2 linked regions of the Schizosaccharomyces pombe genome follow. The gene in region 1 interacts genetically with each later gene. Each region holds a gene or a part of one and is shown on either strand. Other genes may lie near its edges.

Evidence for each region.
Region 2: mutations in SPOM_SPBC365.16 (region 1) and psy2 together harm fitness more than expected from each alone (negative genetic interaction), as found in Schizosaccharomyces pombe (one large-scale study listed by BioGRID).

Annotation. Positions count from the first base shown.
Region 1 is NC_003423.3:2,525,301-2,535,395, forward strand, and holds SPOM_SPBC365.16 (uncharacterized protein), read left to right. Parts: upstream 1-4,366; 5' UTR 4,367-5,687; coding exon 5,688-6,521; 3' UTR 6,522-6,914; downstream 6,915-10,095. Other genes in the region: gamma tubulin complex GCP2 subunit Alp4, read left to right, coding at 1-1,115; ccr1 (NADPH-cytochrome p450 reductase), read left to right, coding at 8,163-10,095.
Region 2 is NC_003423.3:892,641-902,735, reverse strand, and holds psy2 (serine/threonine protein phosphatase PP4 regulatory subunit 3 Psy2), read left to right. Parts: upstream 1-5,321; 5' UTR 5,322-5,602; coding exon 5,603-6,314; intron 6,315-6,372; coding exon 6,373-8,171; 3' UTR 8,172-8,364; downstream 8,365-10,095. Other genes in the region: SPOM_SPBC216.03 (uncharacterized protein), read right to left, coding at 51-794; dynein-anchoring factor Num1, read right to left, coding at 1,755-4,661; squalene monooxygenase Erg1, read right to left, coding at 8,684-10,057.

The sequences.
Region 1 (10,095 bases):
TGCAATTACTCCAGTCTTCACAGTCTCTTTACGCTCATCTGTACTCGCTCAAACATTATTTTTTCCTTGATCAATCTGACTTTTTTACAACATTTCTTGACAATGCTCAACACGAGCTACGAAAACCTGCAAAGTATATATCTATCACGAAGTTGCAGTCGCAATTAGATTTAGCCCTTCGTCAGCCTGGTACGATAACTGCGACTGATCCACATAAAGAATACGTGACTGTAGAAGTGAATCAAACATCATTAATAGACTGGCTCATGCATATTGTAAGTATCAGTGGTTTGGAAGAAGGAACATCATCTCAGGGAAACGAAGTTTGGAATGAATCAATCACGAAGCAAGCGGATGTGGGCAATGAAACTCGAAATTTTGAGAGTGAACACAATCGGAGCACACAGGGGACTTCAAAAGTTGGTAGCGATAAAGATATTAATGGATTTGAAACGATGCAACTATGCTATAAAGTTCCATTTCCCCTTTCACTTATTTTATCCCGCAAAGCTATTATTCGATATCAACTTTTGTTCAGATATTTTCTTTTACTTCGTCACGTTGAAATGCAACTTGAGAATAGTTGGGTGCAGCACAGCAAGAATAGTGCTTGGCGTCTCAATTCCTCCAATGCGAAAATCGAACAATGGAAAAGGAACAGCTGGTTATTAAGGACACGAATGCTTAGTTTTGTTCAAAAAATAATCTACTATACTACAAGTGAGGTGATTGAAACACATTGGGGGAAATTTATGGGAGAACTTGAGAACGCCCGAACTGTGGATAATTTAATGCAGGAGCATATCGATTTTTTGGATACGTGTCTAAAAGAATGCATGCTTACTAACTCGCGATTACTTAAAGTACAATCTAAATTACTTAATACTTGTGCTATGTTTGCCTCTTATACTTCCACGTTTACCCGATCCTTATATTTGCTTGAGAATTCCGAAGAAAGCTTTGATGAAGGAAGAATGGATAAGATGGAAGAAATTTTACGCCGGTACGAAGACAGTTTTAGTCGTCATTTAAAATCCTTAGTGAATGCTTGTAACTACTTTGCAAGTACTGAGACGGCGGCTCTTTTAAGTTTAGTAATGAAATTGACGGGATAACTAAGAAGAGACAAGATAAAACAAGGCAAGGTAGAAAAACTACAAATGGAACAACGTTACTATTGTTTTATTGAGATATGAAGAAACATCTGACAAACAGCAATGGAAATTGGGAGAAAAACTTTTATGGATATTTATATAGTCGGTTTTTGGATAACCTTATCTTTGACATCTTGTTGCTTGTACTCGTTAATAAAGAAATGACTTGGAGTGAGGATCTTGCGGAATGGCCAATTATCTTCATAAACAAGCATTGCTTATCCGCAGTATACATTGGTCCATTTTCAGTAGTTTGGACTTTTTTTTGGCCAGTTGTCACACTAAAAGCGTACTGCACTATTCGGTTAAAAATTGACAAAAAGACGACTGCCATTGGCCATGAATTTAAGAATGATTATGGAGAAAGGCATGGCGAGCGTTTAATATGCCAACACTTGTGTTATATAAAAAATAATCGATTTTTTAAAATGTCTGAAACAGGGTTTGCTGATAATGCCTGAGGAATGGTAACTTGGATTTTTGATCGCTAATTTTTTATTAGCTATGTCGCTAAATTTAAGGCAAGTCGGCAGTATGCCGCGTGATTGAGGAAGAACGAAGAGAGAGGCTAAGCATTTGTTCCTAGTCTAAAGAGCTATCGATTGATTTTGAAGTGATACAATGTATGCTAACGTTTGTACCATAGACAGCTATAGTAATGAACTTTGTTATGTGAAGAAGTACAGTTGCTACGACAGTAATGATGATGATGTATGTATATAAAAACCAAACCAAGGTTTAATTTAGGTGGTTATAGTATTGTATACGCAAAACTATTCATTTGTGTGCACTCGTAATGAATTTCTAGTAATTGTATTTTGCAGTTAAAAGTTTAATGGATGCGTAAACAAAGGAACAGGTAAGCTAGTAAAGCGCATACAAAAATTGTAATATCGAAGGAAAACGTCAATTTAGATTAGTGTAGGATGGTTATTACGAAAGGATAGAGTTACTATGAAAAGTGAGTACAGATTGTATGATTAAGTATGGGGGCGATAGCTGGGTGTGAGGCAAAGGAATCATATGACTTTAGAATTATCGCATCAAGGAGTAAGAAAAACGAAAACTTATCTCACAGTGGATTGCCCAAAATTATCAATCCCCCACCATGTAAGAGGAAACAAGAGAAACAGAGAGAGGGAGAAAGAAATAATTAGAAACTAGCAAATATACTTTACAGATTACAAATGGACACGATAAGTAAGTTAAGATGAAATAAAGGGGAAGATAACAAGGAACGGAATATAAAAGAGCATTTCGAACCGAATGAAACATTTTAAGCCGAATGTATTGAAATCGAAATATTTGAATTGAGAGATTTTTATTTTATCTGACTAATGATGAGAAAGGATAGAAGAGAACAAATAGAATAGAAATAGAACTAAAGATAAAAAATATGAGAACCAAAATAGCAAAACAAAAAAAGCTAAATACTAGGTAATTAATAAAAAAAAATTTAAAAAAGGATTTCTAGTAAGCGTACTACTAAAACAAGTTTAAGGATTTGATGAAAGATTGTATGTTAGAAAAATTTTCATCCTCTTTTTTTTTTTTTTTTTCTTCAAACTTCATACAAACGTAAATATCTCTCAAATTTTGCAATACCGTCCTCTTCTTCCTCGTCGATTTAGATCCGAAATTCTCCTTGGCAGCAGGGGACGGAAAATGAAATAAAGTGTTTTAGCAATTGGGATCGCGAAACCACCTGCTAGAAAGTGTTTAGGAAGAGAGTCGCCGTTCGAAACATAGCGATAACGAGTTCAAGAGCAGTATCCGTAAATTCAGAGGATTAGTGAGTGCCAACACTTCTTATAGATTACGGATAGTAAGCAGTAGTAGATGAAGGATGATGGATAGGTGGATGATCGGGGTGGGAGAAAGTAGGGAGACAGAAGGAAAATGGAATGTAGCTAACTGATAATGAAGAGAGAGAGAGAAAGATTATTTCGTAGATAAAATTTGGTGAGCTTTGACAAGATAAGTTTTGTTGGAAAAATTATGAAAGTATGCAAGAGTGTGAAGAGTAAACAAAAAAGAAAAAGAGACGTTATAAGAGGAAGGATGAGTTTGATGATCTTTTAATATCTAACGAACATAAAAAACTAATGAATGTAATAATTAATAAATGAAGCAAACTAGCGAATGCAACACCACCTATTGATTGCTTTATTTATTTATTTTTTTGCTTGACAAATACCCTTTGGATTTACTCACTATCCATCTTATCCACCGTAGGGGCCATAGTAGACTCGCCTTTCGGCAGCCTTAAAAACGCTACCCTATGTTTCGGGTTTAGGGTGTGAATACGCTATCCATCTAAGGGTCCGTTCGTTTATCACACCCAAATCTTGATGTCGAGGATCTCAGTCTTCAACGTCACCATCTGAAAATTTACTCTTGTTGGGTTGTTTCGCCCGACAAGACTAGACCTAGCAATGACAAGCAAAGTAGAGAAAGTAAAGTAAAGAAAACAATAGAAAAGAAATCAACAAAAAAGCAAGAGTAGAAAAGAGTATTAGCCGTTTCTAAGATTTTGAGCAGCGACTCTCTACAATGTTTACACTGTTTACATTGTAGGAATAGTCGCTTGCAATGAATAGCTGCATCGCTACTAGAACTATTGCATGTGAAACAGTAAATACCAGACTAGAAAGATGAGAAGACCACTAGAGAAGAAGGACTAGAGGAGAAAAGGGACTAGAGGAAAAAAGGAACTAGAGAAAAAGGACCAGAGAAAAAATGATTAGATGAGTAAGTGAGTTAGAAAAAAAACAATTAACCACAAAAAAAAATAAATAAAAAATAAAAATAAAACAATCAAGAGCATGCCTTATTTGTCAGCAACCTTCCTTTATTAGACAGCGTCAACACATCTCAATACAAAATCTTCATCTCACTTCCTCCTATACTTCAACACAGCATCTTCCACCTTGTCTTTTTGCTTGCCCCGCTGCCGCCCTTCAAGCTCGTCGGTACTTGTTCTCATATTCGGTTTTACCTCGGATGCTGTTACCTCGATACCAGGTTGGGTCACCTAATTTTCTTGCAAAAGTCCGTTATCCCAAGTTGTCCCAAGTTGTTCGGTCTTGCTAATTAAGGGGATCATCACCCTATCTTGACCCGTTTAACGCAAGATAACACAGAATCTTTAAGACTAAAAATTGATGCCAACTTGATATAAAACGTGCTTCGTTCGCTCTTTTTTCTCTTCCAGCTCGCCTCTTCAAGCACTTGATCCAATTACGACACGAGAAGAAGGATAGGAACCAGCGTAACTGGGAACAACTAGCAACTATTACGAGCAATATCTTTTAAAGTCCTTAGACACTCTTGTTTACTCACTGCTATCCCATACTCATACTGCTGCTTGCCCAGTACTATTTGTTACTGAAGAGTGTTGTTGATATTGCCATTCCTACCGCTACTACAACCACCACAGTACCACCACCGCTTTTTTTACGCATCCTTTCCCCATCTCAAACGTACGGGATAATTCTCTCAAAGCGTGGAATCAAACCCTTTGTTTTAATTGTTTTTTACTCGTTCACCTGCTATTTGGTGGGCTGTCTGACTTTTGTTTTCTCATTGGCTAGTTGGATTGTTGGACAAGGTTGTCTTATCATTGCATCGATATACCTCATTTCCACCCGTTGATTGATCAACCCTTGTAAACTTAGCCTTTGTTTGCTATAGAAACGGCTTAGTCACTTGTCGTTCTTATTTTGGAAATCGTTCTGTCTTTTCCCTATATCGCCTACTTCACGTTACTGTTAGTTTTGATTGAGCGAAGCAGTTTTAACGATACGAATCAAATTGAATTGAATTTTTTTATTCACAATCCCAATCATCGTCTTATTTTTTTTTAAACCACCATCAATCTTCCTTCTTACAATCCAAGTGGTTTTGCTTTAACTTGGACTTTGTGGTTATTATTGGTTTTTTGTATTTATAATAATTTTAGGATTTCGGGTTTACCTTTTTTTGTTGATATAATATATATCTTTTTACTTAGAAAAAGAAAAGAAAGGAATATATACATTTCCAAAGTGTGAATTACTTGGTTTCCCTCTCTTTACTTGTTTTTGTTGCTACTACTACTACTACTACTTTTGTTGTTCAATTGGTCTTGTCGTCGTTTCTCGGTCTTTCATTTTTACTCAGCATCTTTTTAATTGTCTTTTTTTGGTGACATTTCCTCTCACCTGTACTATCTGCCCCGTTAGCCTATACTATTCGTGTTTAACGTTTTAAATTTTTTCCTTCATTGCATTTGTTGAAGTGCAGTTTATTTGAAGAAAAATTATTTTTGGCTTTGCTTTTTTTTCGCAATCGTCTCTTTCTTTTCAGCTTTAACGTTGTATAAATTAGATTAAACCTTTAAAAAGAGAGAAAAATAGATACCTAAAGACCTTTTGCTTGGCTTGTTTTATTATTTTCACAAAAAAGTTTTTAATATTTTTTTTATCTTTTCTGGTTTTTTTATTCTTATTTTTTATCTTTTCTAATCTTTTTTTTAAACTCTTTGACTTTAACATGGCTCTTAATAGTCAACCCCCTTTGTCCCCCAAACCCGTTCCCTCCAATACCTGGAAGCGGATCGGCATCGATGCATTTGCCGCTACAGCCGCCAGTGCCATGATTTCTCCCTTTATCTTGACGATCGACCGCTCAATCGTCGAAAATACTAGTGGCCGTTCTACTTTATTACGCTCTGTTAGTCGCTCCATCAAATATGTTTTATCAAAGCCAGGCGCCTTCTTTTTTAGCGCTCCCTTTGCCCTGGTCTTTACATTATACTCGGGCACATATATGACGGCCAATTCCATAGACACACTGGATAACATTCGTCACAAGAATCCCGTCTTCAAGGCGGAAACTTCCGGCTGGTTTAAATTCTGTTCTGTCACCGCTGCAAACAGCGGTTTATCCATCTTGAAGGATAGTTTCTTTACCAAATTTTGGGGCACCGGTTCTCCTCGTCCTCTCCCTTGGTCTTGTTACGGTCTTTATGGACTTCGTGATGCACTCACCATCGCCTTTTCCTTCAACATACCTCCTATGATTGCTCCATTACTCCCCGGTGGTTTAATCACCGCTCAATTGCTCACCCCCTGTGCCGTACAGTTTATTAGCACACCTCTTCATCTCCTGTCCCTTGACATTTATAACAGAGGTGGACCTAACATATCAGCAGCCAACCGCGTTATGCAAGTTCGTAAGCATTTACTAAAAAGCACATTCGCCCGTATGGTTAGGATTCTTCCGGCTTTTGGTATTGGCGGTGTTACTAATCGTAAATTACGAACCACTTATTTGGATTCGCTTCAACAACGTACTATGAAAAAACAACAATTTGCTCTTGCTTAGTCCATACATGACGTTCTTTCCTTTTTCTTTCGGCTATTATTATTATTATTATTTTATTATTATTATTTTTCATCATTTTTTTATTATTCACTACTGAATAGTGTCTAAAAAGTGTGTGGACTACGGTTTAAACCTATATAAGGAAAGTGGCATACATCCTGTTATCTGGAACATGAAGCTGCATACTTTTTTGAATGAACTATATAGTGTATGTGTAATGAAGGTTTCACTTAAAAAAGTTTTCTACTTGATTTTTATGCGTCTGAGTTTTTTCTTTGTCTGGAGAAGAATTTGAAGAAAAAAGAAAAACTGCAAGAGAAAATAAAGAGGCAAAGAGACACATGGTTTTCTTTTGTACATTAATAAATAAAATTTGAATTCTATTTTAAGTCATTTTCGTTTGTGTTTAGTATGGTTGAGTATCAAATTTGTGTATGTCAAAAAACGAGCAACCGTAAAGACCGCTTGTTTAGCAAATTTATTCTTTTATCGTTCGTTTACAAACAGCTTTTGCCGATAGTGTTTTACGGTCTTTGAATGGGCTTTCGGTAGAAACCTAAAACCGATAAACAGAGTGAGATTATTTCTTTTTGCATTCCAATGTTGACCAGAAAGACGATAGCTTATTCCTATCTACTAGCTTACTGAATGGTTCAAAATGTACCGTACTACGGTAGCCATATTAATTGGTTCGTCAAAATAAATCCTAAAGTGTATAGCAACGGTTTTTTCAAAGCTCACCTACTTTTTACTGATCGTCATTATAATTAGTAAAACAATAAACACCTACTAGTAGAATCGCCGATTTACCATAATTTCGTATTGCGCTTAATTCTCTTCCCGAGGTATTTTGTTATTGCGATGGCTTGCCACAATAAATTAACTATTGTACGATTGCCGTCACACTATTTCTATCTAAAAATACTCTCATTCCCATTCCCATTTTTATCTCTCCATCCATACTTACTACATATGTTGGATATCTATATCTGTCAAACTTTAACTTCGTTGAACATGCTAATTAACCAAAATTAATACATGAATTTATTAAATAGTTTTTTATTAATTAATAGAAATTTTCAAAAAGTAATCATTGAAAAATCGAACTATATTTTTTTTTTTTATATTATAGCAGTATATAGGTGCAGGAGTTACCAGCGACCAGGTATTAGCGTTTGCCAAAACAATTAGCTTTTCTCCCGAAAGGATTGCTTTTTGAAGTCAATTACTTTAGAAGCTTTCTAGCATCTATTTGATTGTTCAATTGGCATGGTTATTGTGCTCATCATATAAAGCGCAGTTGTTTCATTAATTAAGTATCTTAGCCTACATACTTCATCTTGATTTTTATAGATTCTTTAGAGTATTTGGATAAATACTTGACTTTTTGTTTAAGAGGCTATAGAAACCCTTGTTTGAGTTTCTTCATTTTTATTGTCTCGCGCTTTAGTGTATCTGCTTCAAAGTGGTTCAAGCTAAAAAAGCATAGTACTGTTTCGCTCTTTATTTCGCATCTGCCTATCATCAGACAATTCTGTTGACTCACTCGTTTTTTACACGCACATTTACCCTTGGAATAAAAGGCGGATTAAATCCCGAAGTTGAACACTCGTAAAATTTGGTTATTATATTTTTTGCATTATGAAGACTTATGAATATGTATTGCTGGTCATTATTTTGATCCTTAGCTTGTGTTACTTTATTTATAACAATTTTCTCAACAAGCCAAAGGCTCCTGAGAGGCGAGTCGTGGCTACCGACAGTATTGTCGAGTTGATGGAGGCCGAAAAGCTCACTGCCGCGGTTTTCTTTGGATCTCAAACTGGTACCGCTGAGGACTTTGCCTACCGTTTTTCAACGGAAGCAAAGGCAAACTTCAATCTTACCAATATGGTTTTCGATCTTGAGAACTATGATTTAACCGACTTGGACAACTTTGATAGATCAAAACTATTGGTATTCTTTCTCGCAACTTACGGTGAAGGTGAACCTACGGACAATGCGGAGGCCTTTTTGCAACTTCTTGAGGGCGATGATACCGTTTTTTCAAGTGGAAAAGGCATTGAAGATACTCCCTTCGAAGGAATTCGTTATGCAATTTTTGGCCTTGGAAATCATACCTATGAGTATTATAACGCAATGGCTAAAAAGGTAGATGCTGCAATGACTCGTTTAGGCGCTACTCGTGTGGGCAATCTAGGTTTGGGCGACGATGCCGCTGGTATGCTTGAAGAGGACTATTTACAATGGAAGGATGATACTTTACCTGAGATAGGTAAGCTGTTCCATTTGCAAGAAGTCCACAAGGAATACAATCCTATGTTTGAAGTTATTGAGAAGCCTGAAATTTCCAACACTAGTTCTACTGTCTTTTTGGGAGAACCAAGTCGTCAGCAATTGAAAGGAAATGTTGCATCGAAAGCTCCACGTTCTCAAGCTAATCCATTTTTCTCTTCTCCTGTCAGATCTCTTGAGCTATTCAAATCTGGAAGTCGTAATTGCTTACATTTAGAGTTGGATATCGCAGACTCTGGTATGCGATATCAAACAGGTGATTACGCTTCTATTTGTCCTATGAATCCTAGTCAAGCTGTTGATGATCTTCTCGAAGTTCTCGGTCTCAAAGAGAAGAGGGATACTGTAATAATTGTTAAACCTATCGATACTCTCGATAAGGCTCCTGTTTTAAGTCCTACTACCTATGACACTGTTTTTCGCTACTACTATGAAATATGTGGTATCGTCTCCAGGCAACTGCTTTCTTTTATTGCTCCTTTCGCTCCTACACCAGAATCTAAGCAAGAACTCGAGAAATTAGGCAACGATTATGACTACTTTAAGAAGAACGTTGTAGACTTGCACCTAAACCTTGCTCAAGTCCTTCGTCGTGTTTCTCCTGACGCTCCATTTACAAAACTTCCATTCTCAATGCTATTGGAAAATATGGCACACATGAAACCGCGTTACTATTCGATTTCCTCGAGCAGTGTAGTGCATCCTGACAAAGTTCACGTTACAGCGGTAGTTGACAAGAAAGAATGGACTGATAAGAATCATATCTTTTATGGACTAACTACTAATTATTTGTTGGCACATTGTCGTCATATGCACGGTGAAAAAATTCCACATCCAAATGGTTTGGAATATACCCTTGAGGGTCCTCGTAAAAACTGGACCGGAAAAATTCCGATGTTTGTAAAGAAATCTACTTTTCGATTGGCTCCTCCCGATGTCCCCATAATAATGGTAGGCCCGGGTACTGGTGTAGCCCCATTCCGCGGTTTTGTGATGGAACGGGCTAATTTAGCTTCTAAAGGAGTTAAAGTAGCAAAAACACTTTTATTTTATGGTTGCCAATATTCTGACAAGGATTTTTTATATAAGGAAGAATGGCAACAATACAAAGATGTCTTGAAAGACTCTTTTGAACTGATTACCGCATTTTCCCGTGAGCAAGATCATAAAATCTATGTTCAGCACCGTCTTTTAGAGCACAGTGATACCATTGCTAAACTTGTAGAAGAAGGGGCTGCTTTTTATATCTGCGGTGATGCTGATCATATGGCTAAAGATG
Region 2 (10,095 bases), 1.6 Mb from region 1:
AAGATGCGTGGACTACAATAATACGCGAAGGATCCGAAAATGTCATTACATTATACTGAATAAGTATAGGATGATTCTCCTTTTACGACGAATCCAGCAATGGCTTTATATATTGGCACATTTCCATCCGTCATGTCAACCACCAAATGGATGGACTGATTATCAAGAGCGAACAGTAGTACAGTACGCGCGACGTTTTCACGAGACATCATACAATTTATGGATATCTTACCCAATGCAACTTTTCCAGAACCCTTCTCGTCTGTCATACCAGAAGGACGTAAAATCGTCCAATCAATATCACTAGAGCGTCGCACTAATTCCTGATCCGCTAGGTACTTGTAATGGTAATAAGTTCCAATTGACTGATGTATTTTCTCACTTAGCTCTATATCAGCAGCCGTATAGTAAGGAGGAGGAGGTTGGCTCATATCACGATTATCTATCGCAGATATCATAATTAAGCGTCGAATACCAGCTATCCTCATAGCATCATAAACTTTTATAGCACCTTCATAATCGACGGCTCTTGTTCGTTCAGGGCCGCCTTTACCTCCTGCACCGGCTGCAAATATAACAACATCAGGGTGTATTTCAGCTAAAAACTGAGCAATATCATTAGGCGTCGCCTTCTCAAGTGAACAGACAGAAGTTCTGCCATGCACTTTTTCAATGTCTTCATTCTGAACATAATCACGTACAACATTGTAAACTATATGGCCAGCTTCTGTAGCAATTTTAGTAAAAAGCAAGGCCACCTTTCCATGCCCTCCAAAAACAACAAAAACAGTCATTTCTTACAAAATAAAAATGCTGACGATGATTTCTTTAACCGTTGGGAATCAAGAATCCAATATATCCTTCTCCCTTATTGAAAAAGGAACTTAATTAGCTGATCCTTTGAATAAAAGCAATGGCAATTGTTAAAATGAGTAATTTTTAGAATTGGAAATGCTGTGTATCTGTCAAACCCCTCTTAAAAAAAGAAAGGAATAAGGAAAATGAAAACAATCTACAAAATTGAATCGAAGAGACACACCACAGGGAATGAGCAAAAGCACGGTTTACCTAATTAGTAGTACCGAGTTAATTATGTGACGTTTTCAGTTTTTGTATGGTAAGCTCTAATAGTTTTAACATGATGTAACGATGCAGTAAAATAACTAGCCAGATATATTGTGCTCTTTTTAACTTTCGCTAAAAGTTCTTGGGGTAATACACGGAAAGTGCATCTGGGCACTAAAATCATTTAACAGGTTGCTTATTATTCATTCAGTAATTGAAAGTCGCCCAGATTTGTTATGTTTACCAGTAATAGCAATGTTTAATTCTTTGCACATAAAACTCCGTCAAGGTTAAGTCTGAATCTTCTTTTGCTTATACGGGATAATTTGTTTTGATAAAACTAACATTATCGATGTTACCTTTAAACGTTAGTCGTCTTTTGTTTGCTATTTAAATGTCTCGTATGATAAATTGATTGATTAAAAATGAATTGTATAGAAAGAGCAATTTTTTCGACAAAATAGGAAAGTATATCATCCTCATTAGTGCATGTCGAATTGCAATAAAGCTTGATCGTATAAACCTCATTTACAAAACTGATTAAGACATTTGATTCTTAGTTGTTTACAGTGGTTTAATATCTTTCTATTTGATGCCGCTTAATAAAAACAATTGGTATAACTTTAAAAGTTGTTAGGGAATATTGAAACAGTTTACTTTAAAACTTATAAGCAATGACTGAAACATGCTTAAATGCCGGGCTTAGTATCAAAGATAGCCTTATGATTTATTTGTTTGATAGCTTGAACCCAGATATTGTGAATTTTCTTGCTTTTCGCTTTTAAGACGATGGGCTTATCAGTTGTCTGCATCACAATAACTTCATTATGTAAATTGGCGTTCTTTAAGGCATCTGGGGCTTTTATAATAGTCATTCCCTTAATTTTCACAGACTTGACTTGATTTTTCCTTCCTTTTTCAATAAATGGATTTGTTTTAGACCAGCACAGCATTTCACAATGCGGGTTAATCCAAAAATAGCGCCAATGACTCTTTTTAAACATTTTGAAACTCTCACTTCTCGGGTACTTCATCATTTCGTTTCCCATCATGACATGTTTCATCAATTTGTTCACAGAATTTGCATTACAAGTTGAAGAAGATAAACCTGATAGATTCAAATTATCTCTGCATTTTTTCGTATTTGTTTTGCTTTTGAGATTATTGCGAGGTAAGGTGAATACGTCTGACACCGTCGACAAGGAAATAGAAATCGTCGTAGCCGTACTTCTTGCTTTCAATTGACGTGCTGATTGCGAGGAATCATGCCGAGTTTTTTCAACTTCAGCTGTTGGATAAGTACGAGTATTCTTAGGTGCAGACGGATAAGTTGACGCCTCCCAATTATTATGTTTTGTAAAGTCTTTGAAAAGCATTGAGGAAGTTCCGTTTGAATGTCTTGAAGACATATTAATGTCCAAAGTAACATCAGAAGTTTCCAATGATTGACGTGAAGCAATTGAACGATTCTTAAACATCGAGGATTGAGCAATTTTTTCCCATTGTTCCCAGTCATGCTCTTGATATGGGATCTTTCGAGGAAAAACTGCCTTGCCTTGCCTCATACAATTCATAGATCCATTGGAACATAGCTTTTTCGAATTCCTAACATTACTGTGGGAAATATCCGTAGATAATCTAAAATTCTTAAATTCAGCTATTTCTGGATTACTATAGTGGCGCAACCTCCGACGAGGAATCGAGCAGTCAATAATAGCGCTAGTTAATTTTCTTTTCAACCTCGTGGTAGCAACATTTGAAAGCGCATCGGTCCTTAGAATGACACTATTAGCTGATGTGTCATTTACTTCATTTTTTATTAAGGAAAAAACAGAGCTGATAAATTCCATATTCTTTTGCAGATTCCACTGCATGGAGATTGTATTTGCACCACATACAAAGTCTTTGACATTTTTTAGACAACAGAAGTGATTCTCCAGAATATCATGTTGTATACGGTTTAATACATGATTTCCATAGGAATTTAAAATAGGTTTAACAAGCCTATAAGAGGAGACGCGATTGTTTAAATAATTTTCACGTCCACCTTTGTTTAATGCAGGCAGGTAAGAAACATCACGTTCGTAAATAGAAGAATGATTTAAAATGTTTTCTTTTAGTTTGAAATTAGCAAATTTTTCAGTATCTTTCAAATGCATCTCAGTACTTGCAGACATGTCGCATTTTGAAGAATTCGTATCTATAGGAAATTTTTGGCGAGGTTCAAATTGAGCCAATTCAAAAATTTCCTGGCGATCTGAGCTTTTAGTCGGTTTGAAAAGTTTAATGACTTGTTTATTTTTTGAGTCAATATCTTTTATTGAAATTTGAGAGGTGAGAGATTGAAAGAATGACTGAATAAGATGATTCAGAGAAAGTGGGTACAAGCAAGAAAGCTGAAAAAGGCCCAAGTTACTTTTCAGCGCCTTTTGTAGTTGCTGATAAGACAAAAGGAAGCAAATAAACTCATCATCTCTGTCGGTTTCATCTTCGATGTCTATAGAGTTTTCTGGTGATACTGCCTTGTTCAGAGACCTGATTGATTTCTTTATGTCAGCTTTTGTGTTTTCAATTATTTCCGATGATAAATTTGGAGACGGTGTTTTAGTATCGTCAGCTACCAAATGATTTACACTCACTAACTCCTGTTTTGCTAAATTGATGGATTTGAGAACGGCCGATGATTGAGATACCGAAGTTTGTACATTGGATTCCAACGACAAAAAAGGATCTATTGGAAAATCGTGTTTCTCTTCTTGCTCCGCATCAAAAGATGAACTATCAAAATACTTATCCGAGGAAGACTCCAAAAATACAGAATCGTCGTTTTCATCCTCAGTTACCAAAGTATTTTTAGAATCTTCACTTTCATCTATAGTTTCGCCTTTTTCGGCATTCAGTTGAAGCTCGTGAAGGCAAATTCTTAAATTTGTTAATTCCAATGTCAGTTTGTTCTTCTCATCGTTAAGTGAAACGGTCAAAGACTCTACTTCTGTCAATTTTTTCATTAATCCTTGTAGTCTTTGTTCAAGCAAATCCCTTTGTCCTTGCACCTTAGTCTTCTCTTTCATAAGTGTTTTCATGTTTGAAGAAAGTAGATCAAGTTGCTTGATTAAATGGGCATTATCCACTGACAACTTTTTATGCAAATCTTCTTTCTCTGACAGTTGCAGCCTTAAATACCGCAACTGTTGCAGAAGGTTTAAGCCAATGTTAGTAGCATATTGTAGATTGGTTTCAGTAACTGAATATTGATCTACTTGAGAAGACTCACTGAAGCAATTTGTGTTCTTCCTTCTTTCAATTGCAATGTCTTGACGTTGAATAGTAAGCATCTCCGTAATTCTCACCTCCTCCTCCGCTAAATTTTTTTCCAAGTCGCGTAATTTATATCGATTATCAAATTTGTTATTAAAATATGTTTTATTTTCCTTTTGAACCACTTGGTCTTTAATTTCTTGTTCGATTTTTCGTGTTTCACAAAGAATGCTTTCCTCTAACGCTTTCGCATAAGCAAGCTTTATTTTTGCACTTTCATTTCTATTTTTTAAATCAATTGAATATAATTCCACCTCGTTATCTTGTTTTTTCTCCATGAAGGATCAGTATATGTTTTGGTAAGCTCAACTCTCTTTGTCTTTTATATATCGATAAACTCGTAAGCATGCATATCGCAACAGTCATCGTCTTGAATACATAATTTTTATTTCTGGAATTATATCAATTCAATTCGTGTTCTCATTTGGCAAATTTCTCGTATTACGCTTTAACAATAAAACTTAGTAAAAGCAAAAAAACTGTATTTATATTGATGCATTTGCTAGAGTACTTGAATATCTAGCGAAGCTTTAGCAGCTTTCAATATATATATCGGTATAAATACCATTAGTTTGTACTTAAAAATTAACTATTACTTTACAAATGTACCCTGAGCCTCATGATTGACTTGCAAAAAATTGATTTGACGAGGCTACACATGTGTTTAGACAATAATTAACTTTATTTATATTCATATTTAGTTTATTTACTATTTCGAAAAGATTTAAATGCTAATTGTAGACAGTATAAAACGTTTAAAACACAACTCGATATAAGGATTGATTACAGCATATACACCGAGCGGTGAAGTACTCATCGTTAAAATGCATAACGTCCGTTAATGATATTGTTGTAAACAGATACCGAATTACAATGAAAAATAGTGACTGAAAGCACCACGATCACGTATATAATAGTTATTTGACTCTATAAAGAACATAATTCTGCCATAACACTTCAAAATTATGCACGTGAAATATACATAGTACACTGCTTAACAAATCTATTTGTTATATTTTAGGCAAACCAAATAATTAAGTAAAGCGGCATTGCCATTTAATGAGAAATACATTTATTAATAATTACAATCTTGGTGCAATCTACGGTATTGCATTCATTCACCACCACGTTTGAATTTCGTCTTCACTTTTGAAAATTTGGTGACGAACGCCAACGTCGTAAATTCGAAGCTGACGTCTACCCTTAATCCGCCGTAGAAATGGATTCTACGAAGGAAGAGGAAGATTTAAATAATAATATTGATGAAATTTCAGATGGAGAAAATGAAGAAGAGGAATTAGACGAAGCAATTGCAGCTGCATTGCAGAAGATCGAAGTGCCATCGATTCCCAGACGTGTAAAAGTGTACGAAATGGAAGATGAAAACTGGGTAGACTGTGGCACCGGTTATTGCGATGGAAAAATAGAGGGACCGTTGGCTTATTTCATTGTGCGTTCAGAAGCTGATAATGAAACCATCCTTTTGAAAACACAATTGATTGCGGAAGATATATACAGCCGTCAAGAAGAAACTCTCATAGTCTGGCAAGAATTGAATGGTACTGATCTTGCTTTAAGCTTTCAAGAATCTAGCGGTTGTATAGACATGTGGATGTTTTTAGCAAATGTTCAAAAGGCAATATCATCGGTAACTAGAAGTTACTCCAACGATGATATATTGACGGATGAGGGGGCGCTTAATGAAAACTACCTAAACACGGTCGATCTTCCAGCCCCAGAGCTTGCTAATTTAAAAGAAATTGAAGAAGCAGTATATGGATATATGCAGTCTATTCAATCAAGAGATAGTTTGGTTCGTTATGTTTCAAATGAAAATTATATTGATAGACTTATTGAACTTTTTCCTCTGTGTGAGGATCTAGAGAATACAGATGACCTTCATCGATTGTGTTCCATAATAAAAAGCTTTGGTATGTTAATCTACTTTATACTTTTTAGATTCGTTAAATCCTTGCTAATCGCTGTCAGTGCAATTGAACGACGCCCCTTTACTCGAATCGTTGTTCTCTAATGATGAAAAGCTAATGTGTGTAGCTGGTATTCTCGAATACGATCCGGAATTCCCCAATATCAAAGCGAACCATCGGGAATATTTAATGGATTCCAAAAAGTTTAAGCAGGTGGTTCCCATTCAGGATCCACGGATTCTTGCAAAAATTCACCAGACATTTAAGCTTCAGTATCTAAGGGATGTTGTCGTTTCAAGGATTGTTGACGAACCCTCCTTTTCGGTGCTAAATTCATTTATCTTCTTTAACCAGGCTGATATTATTCAATACCTTCAAACAAATGAAAAATTTTTACATGAACTGTTTAGCATTTATGTGAATGAAGGCGAGGATGATCAACGCAAGCAAGACGGTATATTCTTTATTCAGCAGGTTTGCAACATCGCTAAAGGGCTACAATTCCAGTCCTGCTCTGCATTATTTGCTACTTTCGTTAAATTTAATCTTCTGAAAGCTTTGGATTATGCAATGTCACATGAGAACAATTCCGTTCGAAATGCTGGTTCCGATATTTTGGTGTCTATTATTGATCATGAACCTGCCATCGTTTGGCAAAAGTTTGATCAAGATCGCAAGGACGCTTCTTCTTCATTGAGCAATGCTCACGTTTCCCAACATTCGTTGCTTTCCAATTTAATTAACATTTTGCATAAAGAATCAAATCCTGGAGTACTTGCTCAAATTTCTGAAGCTTTTAAAATGCTACTAAGTTTACCTGGTAGCTATGCATACAATAATCCTTACAGAAATGCTGATGGAAATGTTCGAAATAAAACCGATAACATTATTGGAATTAATTTTATTGAAAATTTTTATGATAACTCTTTTAATATGCTTGCTGCTCCTTTATTGGAGCTGGAAAATGTATCGAGTTTAGATGTTAAAAAGCTTGATATGTATATGCATTTGTGTGAGCTTTTTTGTTATTTTTTTCGTATACACGATTATTGGTCTCGTCGTTTTGATACATATAAAACCCTTACATCAAAAGTGGCTCTATTACTATACAGCGATAGAAAATATGTTGTTTTGAGCGCCCTTAGATTTATTCGCTCTTGTTTGGCCGCTCGTCAGTCAGAAATGTCCTTGATCATGTTAGAAACTGACACATACGGAAAAGTTCTGGACTTGATGTTAAAGGTCAAAGACCAAACTAATTTAGTCAACTCAGCTGCTTTAGAGTTTTTTGAATTTTTAAGATCCGAGGGATCTGAAGATACACTGGATTATCTCAATAAAAACTATCGACCACAGCTGGAATCTTTAAATAATCTCAGTACTTTTTCTGAGCTTTTAAATATAATAGATGGCTTAAGCTCTGACTCAAGAAGCCCTAAAACTGTTGGGACTCATGAATCAAATAGTTATGAATTTGACGGTGCCTCCAATAATAACCAACGTGTTGGAGACGACGTATCCAAAGATTGGGAAATACAGCAAGATTTTTCTATTGAAAACGATACTGAATTATCAGAAAAAGTTGGACAACGTACTGTTCTTGATTCTATAGCCCCTGCTGAGCTAAATATTGAAGACAGTTGCGAGCAGCCAAAGCAACCTATATTAGAGGATCGTTATTTCCTTGAGTCTGCAGTTTATGATACCTCTGCAGAATCTTCAGGTATTAATGTTTCAAACACCCGTTATTCTAAAAGGAAATCGGATTTCCAAGTTGATGATCAGCAAGCTGATGATGAATCACCAAAAAAGAGACTCTCTATCGATTCAAGTTCTGCCCAGAATGGCTACGCTTCCTAGAAGATGAACATAAAAAGGGAAGCTCCAAAAACTCTAGAAGATTGTAATGCAAGTGAATCATCATATGGACATCGTATTTTTGTTCCCGGGTTTATCATTGTTTTGAAAACTCATCTGTATAATATAAACGATTTGGGTTGTTCATTAAGGGACTTTTAAAATAATAAATACCAATTTTCATGTTACTATCGTGGTCTTGTAGTCTCGGGATAATTGTTTACTTAACGCTGACGAATAATTGTACTTAGTAGGCTTAAAAATTAAAAAAAAGTATTTTATATTAAAACGGCAATTTATAACTCTTGAAAAACAGAGGGATTTATATAATAAACAAAAAGAGTGTGAAGTCATTACAAACTTGAACCCAACTCTATCTAAAACTATTTCTTTAAAAACAACGACGTACCAAACAAGGCAAAAACCAAATAGCTATCAGTGATTGCCAAGACAATCATAATCAACCAATTCATAAATCAAAAATAATTTAATTTTAATGAACTGATTCTGCAAACTTAGGATGACATTTCGCTAAGGATATAAGGGATAATTACTAGCGAAGCTTGTAAGAAAATCAATAAGGATTCGATGATACGGACGGGCATAAGCAAAGCAGGACCAGACAAGACATATTGGTAAATACCATAGAGACAGACGGCATAGAAGTGGCCGATAAGATGAGAAGGGCTATGGTCTAAACCGCCTAATAAACGAATGGGACCTTCAACACAATTACCTCCACGCTTGAAGTAATCGATACAGCCCGATTCAAGAGCCTTCATATAGCGATTTTTAGGGGTAAACAATTTGTACAAAGCAATGGAAAGAACGTTGATTACAAAACTGTAACCCTTACGCTTCCAATGGAATTTGTTCATTTGGTTTAAAATGCGCTCGTAGTCTAGAAGATCGGGAACAGCGGAAGGGGAAATGAATCGGGAAAGAAGATAGGCATCGTGAAAGCAAACAGTCATACCACCGCCGGTAAGGGGATGGCGCATATTGTTTGAATCGCCAACGAGGATCATACCTTTGGTACGGTTGACAGTGGGGGGTAAAAATTGGTTAGGCATGGACCTAAGACGATCGTTATAAACAGCGGCCTTGAGGGAAGGGCGAAGCTTTTCGGGCATGTTTGGGACGCATGATTCTAAAACGTATTTTTTAAGAGTCTCCATGGGGGGTAAATTCTTACCAGGGTAGTTGATTAAGATACGAGCTTCAGTAGAGGAAATTGGGTAAAGGACCATAGGAGCAACCTTGCTTAAAATTACATGACCACGACCAGGAGCGATGTAATCGGGATTGGTCAAAATCAAGCCCAAGAAGTGATCGGTGACTTGGATAGGGTGATCGATGAAAGCCTTTCTAAATTTGGAAAAGCAACCATCACAAACAATGGTCAAGGGAGCCTTGTACTCGACAGGGGACTCGGACTTTTTAGAACTGGTAACAACACCGGTAATCACCTCACCAGTTTCATCGCGTAAAAGTTCATTGACGGTGGCCTCGGTTACAGTGACGTTGGGGGTGCTTGTAAGTGCTTTACGAAGGTTCATGACAAAGCGACCATAATGGAAACCAATTCCTTGGTATGCACCGCCATTGGGCTTGCTGGGGTAAGGAACGGAAACGTTTGAATCGCCATAAAAGATTTGATAGCCAGAAGTCCATTGACCGTCAATGCCTTCGACAGCATCGGCGATGCCGATCTTCTCTAAGGCTTCAATACCACCTGGTTGAAGCAATTCACCAACAATTCTATCGGGTTCAGACATATCACGTTCCAAAACCAACACTTTTCTGCCTTGGCGGCCCAAAGCGGCGCCCAAAGCACAGCCGGTGATACCGGCACCAATAATAATAATATCAGCGTCTTGAGTTGCCATTGTGGATAATCAAGAAAGAATAGAATAACAAATAAAAT